Linked DNA regions of Macaca mulatta. Each later gene encodes a partner of the first gene's protein in a complex. Links are inferred from orthologs where the notes say so. Each region holds a gene or a part of one and is shown in the gene's direction. Other genes may lie near its edges.

Evidence for each region. Proteins that work in one complex are often made in the same cells at the same time.
Region 2: USH1C (region 1) and CDHR5 share a complex: the UniProt entries of both Homo sapiens proteins name them as parts of the IMAC/intermicrovillar adhesion complex. The link is inferred for Macaca mulatta from reciprocal best matches to the Homo sapiens genes USH1C and CDHR5.

What each region holds. Positions count from the first base shown.
Region 1 is NC_133419.1:47,957,346-47,960,991, forward strand, and holds part of USH1C (harmonin), read left to right. Parts: intron 1-146; coding exon 147-629; exon of another isoform or gene 630-755; coding exon of another isoform or gene 756-860; exon of another isoform or gene 861-886; intron 887-3,646. UniProt on the Homo sapiens protein: Anchoring/scaffolding protein that is a part of the functional network formed by USH1C, USH1G, CDH23 and MYO7A that mediates mechanotransduction in cochlear hair cells. Required for normal development and maintenance of cochlear hair cell bundles.
Region 2 is NC_133419.1:517,622-521,367, reverse strand, and holds the start of CDHR5 (cadherin-related family member 5), read left to right. Parts: upstream 1-1,303; 5' UTR 1,304-1,391; coding exon 1,392-1,476; intron 1,477-1,566; coding exon 1,567-1,742; exon of another isoform or gene 1,743-1,755; intron 1,756-2,012; coding exon 2,013-2,063; intron 2,064-3,746. UniProt on the Homo sapiens protein: Intermicrovillar adhesion molecule that forms, via its extracellular domain, calcium-dependent heterophilic complexes with CDHR2 on adjacent microvilli. Thereby, controls the packing of microvilli at the apical membrane of epithelial cells.

The sequences.
Region 1 (3,646 bases):
AGGACTGGCACCCCATTGTTCTGGTTTAAGGGTAGTGGGTCTCCAGTAGCAAGAGAAACAGAGTAGAAGAGCATAGTGCTCGATGTATTGCGAAGTGGAGCGCTAATCAGAGTCACAATTACAGAACTTCCTTGCAATCCCCCCAGATGACCACAGGGCCCCCACCTCCTCTGCCTTCTGTGTCTCCCCTGGCCCCACCCTTGAGACGCTTCGCAGGCGGACTGCACCTGCACACCACTGACCTGGACGACATCCCTTTGGACATGTTCTACTATCCCCCCAAGACTTCCTCTGCCTTGCCTGTGATGCCCCACCCTCTACCCTCCAACCCACCCCACAAGGTCCCAGCGCCCCCTGTCCTTCCCTCATCTGGCCATGTGAGTGCCTCGTCTTCCCCATGGGTGCAGCGCACTCCACCCCCCATTCCCATCCCTCCCCCTCCATCCATTCCCACCCAAGACCTCACTCCCACCCGCCCACTGCCCTCGGCACTGGAAGAAGCACTGGGCAACCACCCCTTCCGCACTGGGGACACAGGCAATCCAGTGGAGGACTGGGAGGCAAAGAACCACAGTGGGAAGCCCACCAACTCCCCTGTCCCTGAACGGAGCTTCCCACCCACCCCAAAGGTACTCTCCCTGTTCTGCATGCTATGTTTGGAAGTAGGAAGAGTGGGGAGAACTGCTGTTTCCCATGTCCTCCACTGCTCCTGGGAGTGGAGACAGAAAGAAACATCATCTCACCCCATTTTCCAGGAATGTCCCCTCCGTGTGCATGTGTGGACATCCTGCATGTATATGGTTCCCACTGATTTTGAAGTGCTGTATTGTATGATGAATGGCCTGGGACCTTTGGGGTAAGCAACAGTGTGTCCATTTGATATTCATTGCTCTCTCTTGGCTCTTCTTTGCTAGTGTAGGCTGGTAACTTTCAATGCAGGACTTGGAAGGCTATGTTAATGAATAGCCAGCACTCTGTCACATCCAGTCATTTCCTGATAGTATCCCAGAAAGCCTTGAATATGGGAAATGACTCCTGATCTAGCAGGAGAAAAGGGAGGGGAGGAGGAAGCAGGGCACGGGTAACGCTGTACCATCAAATGCAGTGTTAGGACACTCCAGTGCCGTTTTCTACGGTACTGGCCAACTGCACTGCTTGAAGTGTAACACCCAGAAATTTCTGGCCAATTTCCCGCTATAGAAAAAAATGAAGAGAGAGTTCCTAGAAATAATTTACTATTAAAAGAATAGGAATGTTTTTCTTGGATGTTAGGAAGATGAACAATGTCTTTCTGAAAAAGACATATTTCTTATTAATTATTCATAATCCAAAGACTATTTTGAAACATGCAATCTCTGAGGAAGACACGGAGCTTGGATCCCATGAAGGGAAAAGCAAAATATTATTCCGCTCCCGTAGCCATGAGGCCAGGCTTAAGTCAGTGCAAAAGCATCTCATGTCAGCTGACGGTAGCAGGGTTGCTGAGGGAGGGCATAGTCAATAGCACCTGACCAGTGGTTTTTATTAACCGTCCCTGCATGGATTTGAGTTCCTGCATGGAGAATGGGACAAGTATCTCAGAGCACTCAGGAGAGCTTACAAGGAAGGTGGGAGTGAAGAAAGTGCCAGATGCCAGCAAGGCTGCAGCTTCCAGCGGGAGACTCTCAGAGGGACCCTTTCCGGACCTCTGGTTGGGATTGTGAGCCCTGCAGCTTCGATAGGAAGAAATCTGCCTGTTCTGGGGACATCTTCCCCCAGAGCCCAGCCAGGAGCTGGTTTCTAGGGCTGAGTTAGCCTTGCACATTTTTCTCTGTAAGTGGCCTCCATCAAGATGAGCAGGCTTTTCCTCAACAAATTTGATTCCACATTGATTAAGTACCTGCCTGGGGCCTCTCTCTGTGAGGGGAAAAGGGGAGCAGTGCTGAAGAGGATATGGAGGAGATTGACATGCCTGTGCTTTCCAGGACTTTGCCATCTGAAGGATGAGCTGCTGCCCAGGCAAGCTTCTGCTATAAAATATGCATAAGCCATGTGCTATGGGAGGGATTCATTCTAACTGAAGGTTGAAGACACCTCTGTGGAGTAGAGGGCTTACGAGCTGAGCCTTGAGGGGTGGCAACACGTGGAGGATGGGAGCAAGGGCATTGTAAGTGCAGGGAACATAAATATGGCAAGTTGGAGTAGCAGGGAGTCGGACTGCCTGGGTTTGAATCCTGGCTCTGCCACTTACTAGCTAGATGACTTTGAACACATGCTACTTCATCTATCTGAGCCTGGGCATCCCTGTCCAAAAATAGGAATGTTAACGGCAGCTACCTATTCGAATCAAATAAGTTAATATATGAACACATTCTAAGTTAAGAATGGCAAGAGAGGCAGGCACATCGTGCATGTTCAGTAGACATTAACTATGGTTATTGATAGTCCAGAGTACAAGAAAATTTGGGTGAAGCTACAAACCTGGGATCTTAGCAATCTCAGTTAGTCTCAGCAAAACTTTGAGTCAGGGTCAAGATTCAAGACGGAGTTCAGATTTCTCAGATTCTTCAAGGCATCACGAAGTTCCCACTGTTAGTTCCTGATCAGAGCCCAGGGAAGGCAAAAAGCCCCCAACATAAGGAGCCTCTGAAGAACTGGACCGTAAATGTCGTAAGCGACATCAAAGCCAGGGTTGTCCCAGCCTCAAAGGCCAGGGGGTTGTTGTTTGGTTGGCTTCATCTGGCCCACCTCTCACCCTTGTACCACCCACCCTCTTCCTCCCTGCATGCCCCTGGCAAAGTGTCATCAGTGCTGCAGCAGGAAGTGTGAGTGACCACACGCCCACACAGTCGGCCCAGCCACCAGCAGGCCCCAAGTCATGGAAACAAACGCCTGTGTTGGCTTGACACTTGTGCCTGCCACATCAGCACCTGCCATAGGGGGGTTTTCAGGGCCAGATCTGTCCACAGGCACTGTCCCATGTGCTCACCATACTATTTAATCATTCATTTATTCATTCAACACATGCTTATTGAGCACCTACTATATGCCAAGGCACTATGCAGGGCACTGGGAGCCCCTGCTAGATAGACAGCTGTAGTCTCCCTTCTCAAGACAGTCTGGTGGGAAACAAAGAAAAGTAGGCACCCGCCACACCATCAGGGTGGAGATGGAGGAAGCACAGGTGCTATAATAAGGAAGAGGGGTGGAGGAGAGGAAAGCTCAAGGGAGGCTTCCAGAAGGCAGTGATGCCCAACCTAAGACCTGGGAGGTAAAGCGGAAGAAGGAAAGAGCACATGTAAAGGCCTCAAGGCAAGAAAGCCTGGCATTTTTTTGAGGTTAAAGCTAGGCAGTGTGAGGAGGGTGGTGAGGAGTGAGAGATGAGGCTGAAAAGGAAGATAGAGAAGCTCATGAAAGGCCTTGGGGGTCAGGCCAATGAGCTCAGTAGTGGATGGGGACTCTTGGGAGGGCTTGGGGCAGGGTTGTGAACTGATTTGATACATATTGCCCAAGGAGATCAAGTGGGTTAGAGCCAAGCAGACAGGTTGCATCAGCTCCCCTGGATGCTACTCTTACTGGTCCTTACTCCATGGCCTCTAGAGACTATGTGCCTACCCACTAGGAACAGCAGATGCTTCACACTGTGGTCCAGGGACTGGAGCTGTGG
Region 2 (3,746 bases), about 47 Mb from region 1:
GGGAGTTGGTTGTGTCCACTTGGTGTAATCGAGGCAACCCCTGTGTAGCAGGGCTGTCAGATGGAAGGGGGCCCCATCCACCCAGCCGGGACTGTGACCACACCCAGCTGCCCTTTACACCTGGCGGCCACAGCGGGCCCCTCATCCTTATCTCTGGCATCAGTGCCGCCTCCTGTACATCGACTAAGCACCGCAGGGCCCCGCCCCCCCCTTGTCTTCATTAGGAAACAGTCAAGGGCTCAGGGGAAGCCCGGACAGACTCTCAGCTCCTGCAGGGGGGTGGGGGGTGGCGTGTGGTCAGTGTTTCCGGAAGGGGCAGTGGGGAGGGTGTGGAGGGGCCAGGGAGGCTCAGGCGGGCAGGAAGAGGGGAGGGCAGAGGTGTCACCTGGGGTGCCAGGAGTCCACTCTGGCATGAGGACTCCGGACCCTCTGTCTTGTGTGGCCTCAGACCAGTGGCTTGACCCCTCAGAGCCTGTGGCGTATGGAGCGTGCAGGGCTTGCAGGCGACCATGAGGGTACAGTGCAGGGTTGGGACACTGAGCCCAGCCCCAGCCACGAGAGGCCAGAAGCTTCGGTGCACAGGCCTGGAGAGGAATGACTCCACTCCCCGCCTCACGACAGCCCCTTCCTCGCCCTGACCCCAGCCAGTGGCCTCTCCCTAGAGCTGGGGGCTTGCGGGGGCCAATGAAAAGAGCAGGGCAAGTGTCAAGACTCACCTCACCCCCTCTGTTGGGCACCAGGGCTCCCCAGGAGCTCCCAGCTGCCCCCCACAGCCCCGCCTTAGCCTTGGTCACTAAGGCCCTGTCCAGCCCCACCCTGAGAAGCTGGCTTGTCTCTGGGGCAGGCAGGCAGGGGTGTCCCTAGGACACAGTGAGGAGAGTCTCTTCCTGCAGAACCTGCCATCAGGCAGGCAGGGAGGTACTCCCGGGCGAACACCCAGGTTCTGAGCCTCAAGGGTTGGCCTTAGGAATTTTGCCTGAGGTAGAGCTTAGGGGAGGAGCCAAGCAAGGGCAGCCTGGGCTAGGGAGGCAGGTTTCAGACACCCCAACACCAACGGCTTCTCTCCAACACCCTAGCTCTGCCCCTGCCCTGCCCCAGCCCCATGGCGCCCGTGAGCCATTCTCTAGTCCTTTCTGCCCTGTGCCTCGGTGCCTGTGGCCTGAGCCCCCTGGTTAATCCCTGTACTCAGTCTAACTTGGGCCAAATGACTGCCCCCCTTCTGGCAGTGGGCCGGACCCGCCGGCCAGCGGGAGCCCCCTTGGCAGAGGCCGGTTGTAAAGGATCATAAAGTGGGCGGCGTCTGGCTGGGGCGAAGGTCGCTGAGGTAGGAACTGCGCCAGTCCTGGACGCCAAACCCACTCGGACCCTCCCGCCAGGTGACAGCCGCCAAGATGGGGTCTTGGGCCCTGCTGTGGCCTCCCCTGCTGCTCACGGGGCTGCTTGGCCGACCCCCGGGGACCGTGGCCCAGGTCCAGTGTACGTGCGGGCAGGGGTAGGTAGGTGGGGGCACAGGGCAGGGGGAGCCAGGGGCTGGGAGGCGCTGACCCCTCCTCTGCAACCTTACAGACTGCTCTGTGAACAAGTCCTTCTTTGAAGTCGAGGAGAACACAAATGTCACCGAGCCGCTGGTGGACATCCATGTCCCAGAGGGCCAGGAGGTGACCCTCGGACCCTTGTCCACCCCCTTCGCATTTCGGATCCAGGGAAACCAGCTGTTTCTCAACGTGTCTCCTGATTACGAGGTGTGGGCGGCAGGTGGGTGGGGAGTGGGGGCTCCCAGGAGAAGGGCGCCTGGATCCTCAGGCCACACCTTCCCCGGGGGGCCCAGGAGTTCTATGCCTGCAGGCATCCACTAACACCCATGCTTGGTGGTGCCTGCCCCAGAAGGCTGGGCCCACACCCTCAGCACTGACCACTGATGATGGGGACCCTGGGCCAGCGCCTGCCCCCTTGGCCTCAGTCTCACCACCTGTGGGGCGGGACAGTGACTGCAGACCCGTCTGCCTCCACAGGAGAACTCACTACTTGAGGCTCAGCTGCTGTGTCAGAGCGGAGGCACACCGGTGAGTCCCTGCCCCACTCTCCCCGCCCACCAGGCCACCTCAGCTGGGCTCTGCCCTGCCGGTCCAGGGCCAGTCTCTGATGACCTCACCTAGGGTGTGGTTTCACATGCCATCCCTCCGAGAGTGATGCTCACATTTCCTCCAGTCCAGACTCTGCCCTGAACTGTGGCATCCCCGTCACTGATCCCTTGTCCAGCAGATACCCCCACCCAGTGTGCCCGACTCCCACCCACTCCCTCAACCACCACTGCCCCCACAAGGGAGGCACCTTTATCCTGCCAGCCACTGGAACCACTTTGGTTTCCACTCGCCCTCCCTCCCCACGTCCCCCGCTAAGCTCCCCATTGGTAAATCACTTGGCTCTGCCCCAGCTCGACCCAGAAATCCATCGTCTGCCCACCTCCAGTCCCACCAGGGCCGGGACACCAGCACTCATTTTGGGAAACTTTCAGCCGGCCCGCTGGCTTCCCTGTTGCCCCTTGCCGGTCCCAGTCCACTCCATGTGGCGGAACAGCCTCTGTGGACGCTGTAAACCAAGGCTGCCCAGTCCACCCCAGCCCTCCACAGCTCCTTTCTCACTGAGAGTCAAACCCAGATGTACTGTGCGGAGGCTCTGCTGCAGCCTCAGAGCTCCCGCAGGCACGCTCCTCCCCCACCTGCTCAGGTCTGCAGTCTTCAGAGAAATCCCAACCGCCCTATTAGGGAATAGTTGCATCCCAGCCCCGCTCCCCCAACATCCTACTTCTTGACCAGCGGCATTTTTTTCGGCTTTATTAAGGAAAATTGCAGAATCCTGAGGCCAGCACAGGCCCCCGCCCCCCCCCCCACCTACCAGCAGACAGAGGGCTCTGTGCCCACCGCACACCACAGCACATCACCCACATATATCTTGGCATGTGTCTCTGAAAGAGAGGGATGCTTCTTTTTTTTGAGACAGAGTCTCGCTCTGTTACCTAGGTTGGAGTGCAATGGCGAGATCTCGGCTCACTGCAACCTCCGCCTCCCGGGTTCAAGTGATTCTCCTGCCTCAGCCTCCCGAGTAGCTGGGATTATAGGCGCCCACCACCACGCTTGGCTAATTTTTGTATTTTTGGTAGAGACAGGATTTCACCATGTTGGTCAGGCTGATCTCAAACTCCTGACCTGGTGATCTGCCCGCCCCAGCCTCCCAAAGTGCTGGGATTTCAGGCATGAGTCACTGTGCCTGGCCGGGATCCTTCTTTTTTTTTTTTTTTTTTGAGACGGAGTCTGGCTCTGTCGCCCAGGCTGGAGTGCAGTGGCCGGATCTCAGCTCACTGCAAGCTCCGCCCCCCAGGTTTATGCCATTCTCCTGCCTCAGCCTCCCGAGTAGCTGGGACTACAGGTGCCCGCCGCCTCGCCCAGCTAGTTTTTTGTATTTTTTAGTAGAGACGGGGTTTCACCGTGTTCGCCAGGATGGTCTCGATCTCCTGACCTCGTGATCCGCCCGACTCGGCCTCCCAAAGTGCTGGGATTACAGGCTTGAGCCACCGCGCCCGGCCTTTTTTTTTTTTTTAGATGGAGTCACCCTCTGTCGCCCGGGCTGGAATGCAGTGGCACGATTTCCGCTCACTACAACCTCTGCCTCCCAGGTTCAAACGATTCTCCTGCCTTGGCCTCCACCCACCTCGGCCTCCCAAAGTGCTGGGATTACAGATGCCTGCC